Mus musculus: one gene and its partners. The protein of the gene in region 1 interacts with the protein of each later gene in a pairwise test. Links are inferred from orthologs where the notes say so. Each region holds a gene or a part of one and is shown on either strand. Other genes may lie near its edges.

Region 1 (4,122 bases):
TCCGTTCACATTCTGCAATCTTGCCTGAGTTCTGCCACCACCTAGCTGTGACAGTGTCCCCTCCCAAGTGGCAGCAGAAGCACTGGGGTGGGGCTGAAGCAGAATGGCTCAAAGCAAAACCAGGGCCAATGGTGGCGCACACCTTCATCCCAACACTTCAACAGAAAGCAGAGGCAGGAGAATGTCTGTGAGTTTAAGGCCAGCCTAGTTAGTCTACAGATAGAGTTCTAAGAAAGCCAGGACTAAACAGAGAGACACTGACCCTGCCTCAAAAATCAATAGAGAAATAATTTGAGACCAACTTGGACAATACATCAAGACCTTGTCTCAAAAAAATTGAATAAAATTTTTTAAAAAGAATTATTTATTATATGTGTATGAGTACACTGTAGCTGTCTTCAGACAGACCAGAAGAGGGTGTCAGATCCCATTACAAATGGTTGTGAGTCACCATATGGTTGCTGGGAACTGAACTCAGGACCTCTGGAAGAACAGTCAGTGCTCTTAACCAATGAGCCATCTCTCCGGAGAGCCCATAAAATTTTTTTTAATTGGCAGGTTATGTTTATACATACAAATTTTAAGAATCACTGTTAAAATGAGGAAACACTAAGCAAATTTTAAAATTTGCATTTCAGATAATGCACTATGTCTGAACAAAGAAAATGATGCACATTAGACTTGGCACAACTCAGGGGAAAATCAACTTTGACAATCACAAAACAATAAATCTCAGTAACCATGGCCAATCAGCAGGTAACTAACTACCTCTCAGTGCTGCCTGTCGGGAGAGTGGCAGCTCTGTTTTGCCATCTCTGAAGTCTAACACTCCATAATTCTCTAAGGGCTGCTGTACACACGCGACATAGTGGAAATCATGAAAAAACCTCAGTAACACAGCAAACGGTGCTTAAAACCAACTATCGGGCCAGAGAGAAGAATATGGCTGCTCACAACCCTCTGTAACTCCTGTTCAAGGGGTATTGGTCCTCCTTTAGCATCTGAGGGCACCAGGCATGTACACACACACACACACACACACACACACGCCCGCGCGCACGCGCAGGTAAATACACTCAAGAATGTAAAAAACTTAAAAATCACTTTTAAAAGCCTGATTAGGACTAAATCATTTGTTAGGGTAGGTAGGTAGGCTTTAATTCACAAATATCAAAGTTCTCTTCTATTTCAAGCTATCTTACTTCACAAACTCCCATGGGTGATTTCTCACTTAACAATAGTTAACCTCACTAAAACCTTAAAAAGGAGTCTTTCAGCTCCCAAACTGACTCAATCTCCCTTACTAACAGTGAGGGGAAACAGGAGGGAGCAAGAAGGAAAATACTACGAACAAACCATGATCTGTGAAAAAAAAAAAACACCAAAATACAAGTAACACAAGCAAACAGGCAAAATCCACTTGTGAACTGGTCACTATCACTTACTTAGGGATGAATTCAGTCCTTTGAGTTTCCTAGTTCCCAGGGGGAGAACTTAAACAGCCCCCTACCACCAACACCACCACCCGCCCCCGCCCCCCTGGCTCCCAAGTAGCCCTCCTGGCTGCCTGATGAATACAGTGGACGTTAAAAAAGGAATGCAAACAGGGAAGGTATCTCCCTCCAAAAGAAAAGGGGATCTTAGAACGACGGAGAAAATGAACAGTGCCCAAACCAGCAGAAACTTGAAAATTATAACGGAGGAACAGCAAGAAGGGGAAGTAGATTTTTTTTTAAAGGGGGCGGAGGGACCAATGACTGGCGCTACAGATGCTTTTCGTGTCCCTAGTAGCGTAGAATGGAGACAGAAGGCAAAAACGGAAAAGTGAAAGAGAGGTGAAGAAGTCAAAAACAAAAAACAAAACAAAAAAACAACAACAACAAAACCCAGTTTCTCTAGCCTCTTTCTGAGTGTCAACAGCACCGAAAGATGACGTTGAACGCGCTTCGGCTACCCGGCAAACTGCACTGCTATAGCTTTTGAACACAGCCTAAAATCCCTTTCTTACCAACCCACACGACCTAAGAGTGTTGCAGGAACCAACGGGGCTCTCTCCCCAAAATTCCTTCCTTCCAGCATTCCTATCCGCTGCTGCTGCTGCTTCCCCCCCACCCCCCAACAAGTATTTTTTCCCCCTCAAGTCCTTCTAAAAAGAGAAGCGCCCAACTCTCACAAAGACCCGTCGGCGGGTCCGGGTAACAATCATTCTAAGTCACGGTGGATTCCCGCACACAATTCCACCGCAAGATGCCAAGAGGCGGTGACGTGGTGGCCTTGCAGGTCAAAGGAGCATCAATCACCACGTTAGCTGCGGGCACCGAATCCCCCGCCTCCCGGGCTCAGTCAGCCTGACTCAGAGCAGCAGCCTGCGCCTCTCGGCTGCTCCGGGCTCCCCAGCGTCCAGCCGGACGGCCGCCACACCAGACCTCCCCGGCGGGCCGGGTCTCTGCCCCCAGCGGGAGGAAGACCGGCACCAGGAAGGAAGCGCCCCAAAAGGGGAAACGAGGAGACGGCTGCGCAGCCGCTGCGCTCGGGTCCCAGCCTTCCCCGGCCCGCGAGCGGCCCTCCCCGGCAGCCCCGAGCAGCCCGGGCCCGAGCCGCTCGCCGCCGCGCGGCGCGGGGACCACGGAGCTCCCGCTCACTTCCCGCCCGCTCCCCTGCACTCACCGTGACGCGCCGTCCACTCCGTCACCCGGCCCGGCCCGCCCTGCGCTGCCGCCCGCAGCCGCCAACCTCGCTGCTGCTCCCTGACTGCGGCGCCCGCTGCCCCGACCGCCGTCCCGGCCGCAGCCCCGCTCGCTCTCGCCGCCGCCGCCGCCCGATCGCAGAAGCAACAGAGCAACCTAGCTTCCGCTCCTCGCCAGGGTCCCGCGAGAACTTCCCCACGCGGCCCCGCCCCGCCGCGCCCCGCCCCCGCGAGACTTCCCCCGGCGGAAAAGGCCCAGAGCGCAAGCGCTCCTCCTCCGCTCCGCCCGGCAGGTAGCCTAGAGGGGGGCTTCGCGCATGCGTCAGCTCGGCCCGCAGCAGGTGGCACGGACTCGGCTCCGCCCCTGGGCCGTTGTAACCCTCTACGTGCCGGAGCAAGTGAATTACAGCTCTGCTCTAGAGGAACGGCGCTTTCCACACTCTAATCACGTCCTTTCTACCAAAACAAAGCAAAGAGGCACCGAGGAGCGGGGAGAGATCTCAGGATGGCTCAACCCAAATAGAGGACCAGTTCTAGAAACGTTTGGGGATCTGGTTCGTGCAACCTGCAGTATTCGATGAATTGTTTGATTAGTCTGTTCACGCAGTGAACCACATACCCAGTGTAAGTAAGCACTGTGCTGGGTAAAGAAGATGAAACAACGAGCAGAGATCCTGGCCTTCAAGAGGTTAAATCGAGAGAAGCAGCAGAAGAGTAAACAAGTAATGTCTTGGCTGGAGAGACCTCTCAGGTCAAAAACTGCTTGCTGCTCTTCCAGAGGACCTGCACCCACACCAGATGGCTCACAACTGTCTGTAACCCCAGTTCCAGGAGACTTAGTGCCGCTGGCCTCTGATAGCACTAGCATTCACCTGCACACACCCTCATGCGCGCGCGCGCGCGCGCGCACACACACACACACACACACACACACACACACACACATACACACACAGCTATAACACTTACACATAGCTCTTTGGGGGAATGCTGAGGAAGCCAAAAAGATAGAGAAAGGCTGGCTCTGTTCCTCAGCCCACTGTATAAAAGACTTAACAAAGAAGGTGATGTGGAACTGAGTACTGGAGGGCGAGTAGGAGTTCCACAGCACAGGAGCCAGGGTAAGCGCTTAGCCAACAAACGGAATGGCACAGAACAGAGAGATGGATGGAGGCGTGAGAAAGTCGTGTTCTGTGCGATGCAAAGTGCATAGATAGGTTCCTGTGCGGGGCTGCCGGTTTTGGGGGAGTAGTAGATGAAGCTTGGAGAAGTACCTCTCAGTTCCAAAAGCTCTTTTCAATTATAGGAGAGCAAGAACACAGCCAATGTCAATGTGTTCTCTAGAAGCCAACAAAATACAGTTAAGAATACCCAAGCCTCTGCTACAATAATGAGTCCACTAAAATAAGGCAAGTGAATTGTTCTTTCGACAAGTG
Region 2 (3,610 bases), on another chromosome or scaffold:
TCTCCAGTCCTCTACATTATTTCCTAATTCTCTGTATTCCCAACTAGAAAGGAGGCCTAGAGACATGGCTCACTGGTTGGGAGCAGTGACATTTTGAATTCAAATCCCAGCAGCCACATCAGATCTGATGCCATCTTCCACCCCAATCTTTTTTAAAAAACTAGAAATGAACAAAATCTCACAACTTTGAAAGACTTAAGATATTCTCATAGTGGAATAAACCTGTGAACATTTTAACTTGACAAGTTTTAGTATTAACTTAGTTTAATACCACCAGTAAAATATCCTAAATAGTTCTCTAACAATATCTAAATAGTTCTAAATAGTTTCCAAAATAAACTAGCAACAGCAGTTTGAGGGAGGGCCAGGGATGACACCCTTTTTTAGTCACATGCTGGCACTTAGTGTTCCTATGAAGACACAGGCTCCTGAGTCTTTTGCTGATGTATATACCAACTATGAAAAGGGACAGAACCACAGTCTTTATTCTCAAATTTCCCAACTGCTTTTTTTGGGGGGAGGGGGCGGGGGAGTCACCTGAATAAATACAATACCCAATATCAGAAAGTACCCAATACTGAACTAATTGAACCCACCCCAGCATTTTGTACACACCAGCTTCTAACAGCATATTTAAACAGGTTTTATTTATTAGCATCTTTAACCTCTGATATCTAGCCAATTCCTCAAAAACCCAAGACAATATCAAGATTAGGGGAAGGGGCAGAGGGGGGTCACAATAAAAGCCATTTTTATATTTGCACACTGGAGCCAAGGGAAGCCCCTAGATCAGCCTCTCCTCAGTTTTATCATGGGTTACTTTTGCCTACAATGCATAGCATGAAAGCATAGACTTGCAGCTGTATGCTAGATATACACAACAGGGTCTTTTTGAGAAGTAGAAAGTCTGTGTGCATAAAAGATTTGAATAGCCTGCTATACAAAAATAAACAAACAAGCCCCCAAATCTGTTTATACCTTTACCTTATGTTAGGTCTTACACAGCAAAATGTTCCAAGCTGACTCAAACAAATCAAGAAAAGGGGTAAGAGTACTTCACATGGGTAATTATAACTCTCGTTATAGACTCAGTTCTTAGGAAGGCAAATGCTATATAAAACGGGAAAGACAAATGCTTTCCTATTTTGAAACTTTTGAGGCACAGGTTGAGAATGCAATAAAGAAACCTGGGTTTTAATCAGTAACTGAACATTCAAGCACTCCGTGTCAAAAATATTTAAAGTTAACAATGCTCTCAAAATGACTTTTATTCATATATATTGGTATGCATGAAGATTATATTTAATACAACCTAACGATTTGTGGAGGCTGCTATTAAAAAAAAAATGTAATTGAAAAACTTTCTTTCCAGCAGGGTGTGGTGGCGCACGGCTTTAATCCCAGCACTCAGGAGGCAGAGGCAGGCAGATCTCTGAGTTCCAGGCCAGCCTGGTCTACAAAGTGGGTTCCAGGACAGCCAGGCCTATATAGAAAAATCCTGTCTCGGAAAAAAAAAAATTGTCTTTCCTTCAAATTCCTGGTTTAATAAGGAACTGTTTATTTTTGAGAAAAAGATCCCAAACATCAGGCTGTTCACAAAAATAACCCATGGTATAACTTTAGAAAACAAATATTAAGACTATTACACTATTTTCCTGTAAGATGCATTTGACATGCCAACTCCCATTCACAAAAATACATGGTTACATTCGTGTTGTAACAGTCCCACTCACGTGAGGGAAAACACACACCTCTAATGCAAAGCTGCTCTTGGGGTTACAAGTAAATGAGATGCCTCTGCAGTTAGGGAAGCAACTACTGAAGTCATGAATGGGAAGAACTGTACTCCCTGCATAACAAGAGATTATTTTGGAGACAGTTGATAAAAACCATACAACTTTTTATTGTTAAGTCAAAGAGGTATCAAAATTAAAGCAAAACTTACAGGGTGAGACTTAACGAAAGTACTACGGAGCATCAAAGGAAGTGGAACTGTAACTAGGCGCAGGGCAATCATGAATTAATGAACACAGGGAGGGTAAGGCGGGACAACAGTGAGAATGTGCAGAAGACCCCAGGGGAGATGACCTGGTGTTACTTTCATCTCCCACAAACGCCTAGGTAAATGAATAATGGGATAAGATTTCTAAGCTCCACTATGTGCTTAAGAGTCATCCTCCCCATTGGCGCTGTCTCTGTCGTCTTCTCCTTCCTCAGGCTCTTTTTCATCATCCTTCAACTCCAGCTGTGAGAAAGACACAAATAAGGGAGAGTTAGAGGTACTCTTCTCATCCCTGGACCCCAGTCCTCCCAACTTTCTTTTTTCCAAAGGTAATCACCTGGTCATCCCCCCGATCTTCATTATCGTCATCATCCAGCAGGTCACCCTCCTCAGCAGAGTCATCTGCACCTGCCTCAGACTCCATCTTCACATTAGTCTCATCTTTCTTCACAGAGGCGCTGCTCTGCTCTTCTTCAGACTTTTCATTCTTCATCTCTACTGGGGATGAGAAGGACAAGTCTGTCCAGGGGCAAGTGTTGCCCACAGGATATAGACAATTCCCATTAATCATCAAAGAACAAAAGTAAAGTTTTCCAAATAAATTAATGCCCCTTCCAAACAGCCCAATTTGCATATACATTAAACCACCTTAGGAAGATAACCCAAATTCAATTAGAAAATTAAAAGACTATTACCTGCTTGCTTGCTTTGTTCTTTTTCAATTTTTTCCAGGCTTTCCAGAAGAGAATCCACTTTTTGTTTTATCTGAGTCAGCTCCTTTTTAATGGCCTGAAGGTCATCACCTTTCACTGTAACAGAACTACAATGTTAGACTAGAATAAAGCACCATTTACCAGTTACTGAAAGTGTTCTTTCTAGGTGCTGTGCCTTAGGTCTCAGAACCACAGGAAGAAATGTTTTTCTAGTTAACAATTCAAAAAGCTGAAAGAAATACAGAGGCACCAACTGCAATAGTAACTAGTAATCTTTAGTCAGCAAATGATTTAAAAATAATTTTTAAAAAAAAGCTATAAATGCCTTACATAGTATCACTTTAACCTAAACATGTATTTTCCTGACCAAAAAAATATCATTCTATTTTATAGCAACTTCTAAGTTGTCTTATCATTGTGTATGTGCCCATGTTCATGAAAGTGTTCCGATACAGGGAAGGCTTTCAGTCTCCTGTCTACACCCCCATTTCTCCTTAGGGGCACTGAGATTAGCCCAGCTTTACTTCTGTTTTAAAAAGAAACAAAACAAAAAACTTAAGCTGAGAATTTCAACTAAGATACTGCAATTGCTCTATTTACTTTCTCAGCTTTCATAGTTTGCTGACATACTTCAATTATGTCGATCAATATAGAAAACTGACAACCAAGAGTATGCCCTAGCTAAAATTTAGTTCAACATAAACATTTATAAAATTAACCAAGCTATTAAGTACAGAACTCAGACTACAATCCTTAAACAACATTCTTTCCCCCTCTTCCCTGGTTTGTATTTTTTTGGGTAAACTGAGACCAATGCCAGGTGTCACCTTGCTCTCTATCACAGGATATAGGAGGTGTTTTAAGAGATTAAGAACAGTGTTGGGCTGGAGAGATG
Region 3 (4,391 bases), on another chromosome or scaffold:
CCCATGCATGTCTCTGGTACTTCAAACTGTTACTGATGACCACTGGAGAGATGGCTCAGCACTTGCTGTTCTTTCAGAGGACCTGGATTCGATCCCCAACACCTACATCTGGGAACTCACAATCACCAGTAATTCCAGTTCAAAGAGATCTGAACTCCTCTTGGTACAGGAACCAAGAACCCAGGTGGCACCAGGAACCCACTTGGTACATATGCATATATGTAGATATGCATACAAATAAAATAAAAACAAATAAATGTTTCTAGAGTTAGGAAAATGGCTCAGCGGATGAAATGCTTGCTAACAAGCATGAGGACCTAAGTTTGGACCTCCTGTACTCATGTCCAGGCTGGGCAGATCACTCCTGTCTGTAACTTCAGCACCGGGATGCAGAGATAGAAAGATCTCAAGCTCTTTGGCCAGTCCATATGGAATCTGAGCTCAGCCATCCAAGTATCAAGATTCACTGAAAGATGAAAAGAATGTCTCAAAAAATAAAGTGTTTGCGCGAGCCCTCTGGACGTCAACCTCTGGTTTGTAAAGGCCAGTGAGCACCCACCAATATACATAAAAATTCACAGGAAAATGTTGAGTAAGTGTAAGTGTGGTGAGAGGCAAAGATTTCTACAGTCAAGTACTAAGAAACAAAGAGGGGAAGTAGTACGACCTTTAAAGCTGAAACTCATTGTTGAAGGAACATTAATTATAAAAACAGTTTTTAAAACTATTGAGCATAAAAATTAAATGTCAAATATCCGCCGTAGTTAGTCGCTGCTAAAATTTGGAAGAGTAGGTCATTCCTTGCCTTTGTTCAAATTGTTTGCATATATTATGCAAATACCCAGAACCATTCGAAGAACGCCTACTCGAAGAAAGTCAATGATACACTCCTCTGGACCCTTTGATTGGCTTGCCTATCCACTTCATTTGCATGACGTGATTTGATAACTGGAAAGCCCCGCCTCCCTGACGCGTTTACCTCTCACGAATGGACACCAGACCTGAAATTCTTCCAGGGTCTATGTAACTCCGCCCTCGACTAACTAATCCCTTCCATTCGTCGCAGTTCTTTCCGTCTTCTCCGCTGAGAGTGACCGGGGCCTAGCATCCCTTCCCTGCGTGTCTCTCGGCTCCCAGCCGTCCGCGGACCAACTACGCATGCGCATCCTTTTTCTCCCACCATCCGTCGTGTAAATTCTGCGCCCCAACGGCCTCGCATTCCGCCCGGTCTACGCGTCTCAACTGCCGACGCCAAGACGTCTCCCTAGCCAACCGGCGTCCTAGCGTCTGTAAGTCCCTCCCCTTTATGCAAATATCCTCCACACACTGCCTTTATTTTTTTAAAGTAGGGACAGCCCTGAAGAGCGGAGGGGTCGGAGAGTAAGGGCTCCGCCCCCTATGCAAATAAGGGGGCGTGCCCAGCCGCGGAGGGAGGCGGGAGGTGGGGGGTGTTCCCGGGGGCGGCGGTTGCCCGGATGGGCCGTTAGTCGGAGCCCAGCCGCGGAGTGAGCGAGGGAGACGGGAGGAGCCGAGCGCGGCGCCATCCGCCGCCATCCGCCCCCGCCCCGCCGCCATCCGCCCCGGGAAGCCTTTGAGCCCGGGTCCCGGACCCCCACGCACCCGGCTAGGTGAGTCTGGGCGAGCTGGGCGCTGACGCCCTTTCCGGCGCGGGGCGGCGGCAGCGGCGGCGGCGGGCCGGGGGAGAAGCTGCCATCAGCCGCCGCCATCTTGTCCTCCTGCCGCCGGCCTGCCCCTCCCCCTCGGCCTGCGCCGGCCGCTCCCAGGCCGCTGTGGAGGGCTGGGGGCGGCCGCGGCCCAGCAGCCTGCTCCTCAGGGCACGACCGCGCTCCAGGCCGCGGTTCCTGCTCGCGTCGCGCCCTCGGCCCCTCGGCCGGCCCGGGGCCCCTCCGCCGCCTGTAGACCTACCCTTTGAGGGGCTCTTGGTGTTTCTGGAGCCCTTGCTGCCACCCGGCGCTATGGCTCCCGGTCTTTCTTGGTCTTTGCGTCGAGTCACTCTGGTTCTGGAGCCCCGCTTTCGGCCAGCATCTTCGCCTTTCTGCGTCCCCCAAGCCTCTGCGTTCCCTTTTCCCCCCATGGCCCTATCTCCTCCTCTTCCCTCTTTTCTTCTGAGCTCCCCTGACACTGCCCCTTGTCAGCCTTCCTCAGCCGTTCCTGCTTCCCTCCCTGCTTTCTGCTTGATTCTCTCTTTAGCAGTTGAAATCTGTCTGCTCTACGGTTTTTCTGCTTTCTCCCCCTTTCATGGTAGATTTCAGATTGCCTTCCTTAAGTGCCTAGAGAGCAACCCCTGTCTTCTTTTCTCTGGCTTGTGGTAAAGTTAGTTCTCTCCCCGATTTTGGCTTTCATCCTAGGCCTGCATGCTTTCTTGCTATCTTCCATCTCTTTTTCACACTGTTCCCACCCACAAATGAATGCCCGGTCACTCGAGGATGGATTCAGATGTAGAGTTTTTCCTGCCTGAGGAGTAAGGGCTGTTAGGGGAACAAATGACTGCTTATGAAGAGACTGGATGAGGATAAAAATGGTAGTTGGTTCTGGGTTTGGCCTCTGCTGCCTGGCCCATGGTTACAGGGTGTTGTCGAGGTAGCTCCGTCATGCTGTGGTTTTCCTCAGTTTTACATGGGGTCCACTAGTTTTTTGTTTTTTTGTTTTTTTCTGCCAGCAGAATTGTTTCCAAGAGCCTGTGTGGGGGCTATGTAAGGAATAGATGGAATATTTTGCATCCAGGGGTTCTGTGGAGCCCCTGTTGTTTAGTAAGGCTTAGTCTGGCACCAGCTCCTGGTCTGAGAGCAAGCTCATAAAAATCCTTAAGCTCCCAGCATACCTTCCTTCAAACCTCCCAGATGGGACTTAAGGCTGCTGGGAATGAAACCTGGGACACAGGGCCCTGGGGCGTGATTAGGGAGCTGGTGTCTAATAGGTTGACAATCTGAAGTTCTTGTACTTGCTCGATAGAGTTGTGTACCTCATTCTGGTTTTCTCTGGGGCTTTGACTTGGTTGTTCAATTTAATCGTATGTCTCTGAAATTATTTTGGAGGAGTGTAAGATTAGTTGCCATTTCTAAATGGCACAAAGGATAGATGGGTAAGATACTAGGTTGCTACTTGGTTTTCTTTGTTGGGATATGTCAGGGGGAAGGGGGCTGTGGAAGCCAAGTGGATGGTGGTTGCTTAAGAGACTGTAGTGTTTTACACAAGCCAGAGAACCAAGTATTTGGGCCCTAAAGAGAATGCAGAGAGCTTCTAAGCTTTTGTCTGAAAGGGGCAGAACCTGAACTGCCTACTGTCTGGCCCACAGGCACCGGCTCGTTTTGGGGGAGGTGCCTGCAGGACCCAACGTACTCAATGAGCTTCCAGCGCAATGTCCGATCGCTCGGGGCCGACTGCCAAGGGGAAGGATGGAAAGAAGTATTCCTCGCTCAACCTGTTTGATACGTATAAGGGCAAGTCCTTAGAGATCCAGAAACCCGCTGGTGAGGGTCCTGTCCTGTAAAGACGTTCCTGATATTTGCAGGCTGAGCATGTGTGGGATATAGGCTTTAGAGCTCTCCAACAAAGGCAACTAACAGACCAGATGAATACTGGAGACCTCTCAGTTTCATCTTCAGTGCTGAAGGGGGTGCTGGGCTTTGGGTGAAACACAGCTTATCCTCCTACAAAGGCGTGTTTTTGGTTCCCTGTCCTTGGACACGTAAGAATCGGAGGCAAAGTAATGTGGTGGATTTGAAAAGGTCTTGGACCAGCTTGCCCCCCGCAGGCTCAGGATCAACCATCCCACAGATGATTATGCTGTATCTCACCTTTCCCAGGAGAGCTTAAGAGATTATTGAGTAATGGAATGGTTTCTGAGAGAAGCCTATAGTGAAAAGATGGTAGGGTTGTCTAAACGGGATTTGTTGACGGGACGCTGTTAGGTCTCCCGTGTGAGGTCTTTTTGATCCTTTTTCTCTCCACCGTTTCTTCAGTTGCCCCTCGACATGGCCTGCAGAGTCTCGGAAAAGTTGCCATTGCCCGGCGCATGCCACCCCCAGCCAACCTTCCAAGCCTGAAAGCCGAGAACAAAGGCAATGACCCCAATGTCTCACTAGTGCCGAAAGACGGAACAGGATGGGCAAGCAAACAGGAGCAGTCCGACCCCAAGAGGTAGATAGCTGTGGGACTTCCTGAGGCTCGTAGCTTTGAGCTGGGGAGTGTGTTAAGGCATGAGACTGAGAGAAGCACCTTCTGCACCTAGTTTGTTAGATGACTAAGAATTGAAACCTTAAACTTTGATGGAGAGAAAACAGGAAGAAACAGGCGAGGCCTGTGTACCAGTTGCTTTGTCCTAGTGTTTGTAGATAGTAGCTAGGCTTGGGTCAGCCCCAGCTTTGTAC
Region 4 (4,189 bases), about 8.2 Mb from region 1:
ATGAGAACTTCAAAATCTAAATGCCCAAATGTGTTGGGGGGTAAATAAGTATACAATAAGCCAATTGACCATAATTACTTATATTTCTCTAAAGCAACCACAATAAGGTATCATTAAGTTGAGAAAATGGTTAAAAACCATAACAAGCTTCTCTCTCCCTGGTACACAGCACGAACTGTTCACTAATATAAAAATGTCCTTTAGCGGGCTGGAGAGATGGCTCAGTGGGTAAGAGTACCAACTGCTCTTCCGAAGGTCCTGAGTTCAAATCCCAGCAACCACATGGTGGCTCACAACCATCCATAATGAGATCTGCCTCCCTCTTCTGGAGTGTCTGAAGACAGCTACAGTGTACAGTGTATATAATAAATAATTTTTTTTTTAAAAATGTCCTTTAGCGGGGCAGTGGTGGCGCACGCCTTTAGTCCTAGCACTTGGGAGGTAGAGCAGGCAGAGTTCTGAGTTCTCCAGGCCAGCCTGGTCTACAGAGTGAGTTCCAGGACAACCAGGGCTACACAGAGAAACCCTGTCTCAAAAAAACAAAAAAAACAAAACAAAACAAAACAAAAAGAGTCCTTTAAATCCAAGGCATTACACCAGACATAACTTTAATCACAGCAATCAGGAGTTCAAGGTCAGCCTTGCCTACTTAGCCAGCCAAAGAAACTATAGTGATTCCCTTCCTGCGCCCCCCACTCTATCTCTCTCAGGCACACACACAGATCCAACGTATTACATGGGATAAATAAAACAATAAATTTACACACCATATATGATCAGAAGTGATGACTGAGTCGTCAAACCCCCTGAGCAACACAGAACTTAACACTATCATTTTTGTTCTAAAGTACTATCAGGCATTTACTATTCGGCTTTGGAAAAATAGAAGGGACTAAGGATATGGCTCAATGGTTCTGCACTTTTCCTAGGATGTGTGAGGCCATTAGGTCTTAAACATACCAGCACCACAAAACCAAAAACTAAGAAAAATAAAAATAGAAGCGATTGCTTGCTGAAAAATATTATTCATGATGGAAAAGGATATACTTCATAAACATCCCAGAAAGTGTGGGTGTGCAGACTTCATCTAGCCAATTTCTTATACTCAGTGTAGGGCAAGCAATGGACGTGAAAACAGATTAAATCCAGACCATCCCATTAAAGTTAGCCAAGGAAATGAGAAGAGGCAAACTATAATTACTCCTGGAAAAGACATTGATCAAGTATATAGCCACAGCTAACATTTAGCTCTAGAAAAGCTTCAGTACGTATGAATAAGTGGGAGCCACTAAAAAGGATGGTATGTCTTTCCTAAATCTCGCCTTGCCTGTATCCCAGTCGGCTGACTGATCTATTTGGAAAGTAGCTTTCCCTGACCCTTGAGTTGGATACAAGAAAGAGGGGAAACAGGGTGTAGTTTTTGAACTTCAGTCTCACCTTGCACATCTCACCGGCTCTGTAGTTCATTAGTGATCAATTACTTCATCCAGTTCCTGGAGCAAACAGAAAAAGAAGATGGTATGCAACACCAGTTGGAGCTGTTACCAGTTACAAGCATTTTATAGTCCTTTAGTAAAAGAATATGGATACACTTCAAGTGGAAAAAGTTATTTAAAAAAAAAAAAAAAAAAGATACAGGATGAAGCTTTGGAGGGGAAAAAAATTTGCTTCTTTTACCTAAAATTGAAAATATTTTCTTTCAGCAACAGATTAGAAAATAGTCTTCAACCTTAAACATAATAAACTCATCTATTCTACACTGATTAGTCTTACTTTCAAAAATAAAAGAAGGGAGAAAAAAATCAAGGAGGGGGGGAAAAAAGCTATTCATATGAGTGAAGAGAGCAAAATCAAGAACAAACTAGGCCAGATAACGTCTCCCTCTTCCCCCGGCTGCTCCCGGCATCCACTATCTCTGAAGTTACACTTCTGATTATCCTAATGGCTTGTCTAAAAAGTGTAACTTTGCAAGGGAGAAAGGATGCCAATTTCGGAGCTCAACAAAAAAAAAAAAAAAAAAAAAAAAAAACAAGGTTCCCAACCCAAAAGGAATCTGAAGGCTCTGGCTTCCAGCCCTGTCTGTGAGGACCCTCAGCAAAGGCCAGGGGGCAGAAGACTCAACTCATTTTGGGGAGAGAAATCACAGTTCCTACTTAGGACTATGTGTCCGAGCCCTTGAGGGTAAAGAGAGAGAAGGAAAGAAAGGGGCCTTTGGAGACACCTCCAGGAAGAGACTGTGCATTTGTTTTTGTAGATGTGCTCACGGGCCACGCATGTCCCAGGAGGGGGGCGGGGAGAGGGGGACCACAGTGAATCTTGAGCAGAGCCCTCTGCTGGGGAGGGGCGCCCCCTGACCCACTTTCGTGCTGTCCCCTGCCCTGGGGTCGCCGCCCCACCCTGGGTGGAAATGCTAACCCGGAGGGCTGCACCGCGCGCGGCGTGGGAGGCCGCCCGCTCCCCACCCTAAGCCGCGACCCTGGGGCGCGGGGCGTGCGGGGACCCCAGGGTCGGCCCGTGCCGGAGCAGCCTCGCGCGGGCTCCCGGGTCCCCCCGAACCTCGGGCGTGTGCAAGGACCCTCGGGCCACCGCCTGGGTCCCTGGCACCTCAGCCCCCCAGCGGAGGGAAAAGGAGATTGAGGAGGGGAAGAAACAGTAAACAGCTCCAGCGTCCGGGCCTCGCCTCTGAGAGAGCCCCGCTCCCCAGGCCCTGCCGGCGGCCGGCGGGATCCCCCGCTGTCCCCGGGGCCGCGCTGTCCCGGACCCGGAGCACCCGAGGAGAGTCCGGGCCTCTCCCCGGATGGCTCTGGAGGCTCCTGAAGCGACCCGGGCAGCGGAGAACGGGGAAGTCAGGACTTACCTGTCATTACTTTCTACGCCATCTTGGATCCACTTGTCAACGTCCCCACAAAGCATTATGGGTAAGAAAGAGCCTTTAAAGTGACTCCCCCCCCCCCTCGGCCCCCGACTCCCGCCTCCCGCCGCCGGCGCCGCCCCCTCCGGCTGCACCTCCCTCCGGAAAGTTGGCCCCAGAGGCCCGCCCGGCCCCCTTCAGCGCCTGCGAGACTTCTCAAGGAACACCCCTACTCACACACCCAGTTTTCCAACTGTGCCTTTGGGGTGCTCTCTCTTCCCCCCACCCCCGTCCCTATCTCCCCCATTCCTTACGCGAGCTGCTGTCTGCCCCGCCGCGATCCTGCCCTAGTAGCCAGATACCCTACTCCTGCATTCAATCAACACGGCGTGTCCCGGACGCGGGTGGTGTGTGAGCCGGCTAGCGGATGCATAGATGTATGCAGGGATGCATGAGCGCATGAATGCGCACGCCTGCGAGCGGTTCCCCCAGCTCCAGGTCCTTGCTACCGCTCGCGCTTCCCGCCCCGGGGCATCCGCCAGGCATGTCGCACTCGCGCGCGGGGACAGTGTCGGTATCCTAAGAAGCCACTCTGGGGCCCTAGGATCCCAGGAACTCGGTGAAACGCCGAGTCAATCCGCCCGCAAAGCTGCAATTGGGATCTGGGAAGGTTAAGCTAAATGCAACTTTTACCCCAGTTTACTCGCGCGGTCCCCTCCTCTTGGCCGGTAATGTGATCTGCGACCCTCTAGGTCGGAGGACCCCCTCCCCTAGGAATGTGGCTTTAGAATTCAGCCGGGTTAGAGTCCAAATTGTGGACTGTGACTTCCCCATGCAGGTAACTCAAGAGAACCCGGCTGCAGAGTCCGGGTGGGGCGTGGATGCGCGCCTGGGCCGGGAGGGGGTCCCCCGGGTGGGTTGGGGGGTAGTGCCTACCGCGTTTCAACTGTCCTGTTCCCACAAGGCGGCGACCCCAGGCGGCGGGACAAGGTAGAGGGCGGGCGCCACGCTGGCTCTGGGCAGAGAGAGGAGGGGGATGTCCAGAGTGGCTTGGAGGCGACCAGGACGCAGGAAGTAGGAGGCGACCGTGCGCCGGCAACAGACCTTTGCGAGCATCCCGCGGGCATCTGCTTTCTGGTTGCAAGACAAGCCCAGCGCTTTCCCCGCCCCTCCCGCGTTGCTTCAGGCGAGCAACACCTAGCTCAGGTGACCACCCCTTTTGCTCCATGAAGTACCAGCTCCTTGCAGCCCTAGTCCTGCCAGAAATGTAGGTCTGTTCATTAACTCCCCACCCCCACCCTATACATTCTCTTCCTCCAGTGTCAGCACTGCTGAGTT

The links.
Region 2: the proteins of Grb2 (region 1) and Hnrnpc interact in a two-hybrid assay, tested with the Homo sapiens proteins (2 studies listed by BioGRID and IntAct, with this or other methods). The link is inferred for Mus musculus from reciprocal best matches to the Homo sapiens genes GRB2 and HNRNPC.
Region 3: the proteins of Grb2 (region 1) and Prrc2a interact in a two-hybrid assay, tested with the Homo sapiens proteins (2 studies listed by BioGRID and IntAct). The link is inferred for Mus musculus from reciprocal best matches to the Homo sapiens genes GRB2 and PRRC2A.
Region 4: the proteins of Grb2 (region 1) and Helz interact in a two-hybrid assay, tested with the Homo sapiens proteins (2 studies listed by BioGRID and IntAct). The link is inferred for Mus musculus from reciprocal best matches to the Homo sapiens genes GRB2 and HELZ.

Annotation. Positions count from the first base shown.
Region 1 is NC_000077.6:115,705,727-115,709,848, forward strand, and holds the start of Grb2 (growth factor receptor-bound protein 2), read right to left. Parts: upstream 2,872-4,122; 5' UTR 2,668-2,871; intron 1-2,667. UniProt on the Homo sapiens protein: Non-enzymatic adapter protein that plays a pivotal role in precisely regulated signaling cascades from cell surface receptors to cellular responses, including signaling transduction and gene expression.
Region 2 is NC_000080.6:52,072,916-52,076,525, forward strand, and holds the end of Hnrnpc (heterogeneous nuclear ribonucleoproteins C1/C2), read right to left. Parts: intron 2,812-3,610; coding exon 2,698-2,811; intron 2,522-2,697; coding exon 2,340-2,521; intron 2,246-2,339; coding exon 2,165-2,245; 3' UTR 462-2,164; downstream 1-461. UniProt on the Homo sapiens protein: Binds pre-mRNA and nucleates the assembly of 40S hnRNP particles. Interacts with poly-U tracts in the 3'-UTR or 5'-UTR of mRNA and modulates the stability and the level of translation of bound mRNA molecules. Single HNRNPC tetramers bind 230-240 nucleotides.
Region 3 is NC_000083.6:35,161,972-35,166,362, reverse strand, and holds the start of Prrc2a (protein PRRC2A), read left to right. Parts: upstream 1-1,485; 5' UTR 1,486-1,628; intron 1,629-3,316; 5' UTR 3,317-3,379; coding exon 3,380-3,491; intron 3,492-3,666; exon of another isoform or gene 3,667-3,800; intron 3,801-3,983; coding exon 3,984-4,161; intron 4,162-4,391. UniProt on the Homo sapiens protein: May play a role in the regulation of pre-mRNA splicing.
Region 4 is NC_000077.6:107,546,650-107,550,838, reverse strand, and holds the start of Helz (probable helicase with zinc finger domain), read right to left. Parts: upstream 2,907-4,189; 5' UTR 2,858-2,906; exon of another isoform or gene 2,845-2,857; intron 1,494-2,844; 5' UTR 1,438-1,493; intron 1-1,437. UniProt on the Homo sapiens protein: May act as a helicase that plays a role in RNA metabolism in multiple tissues and organs within the developing embryo.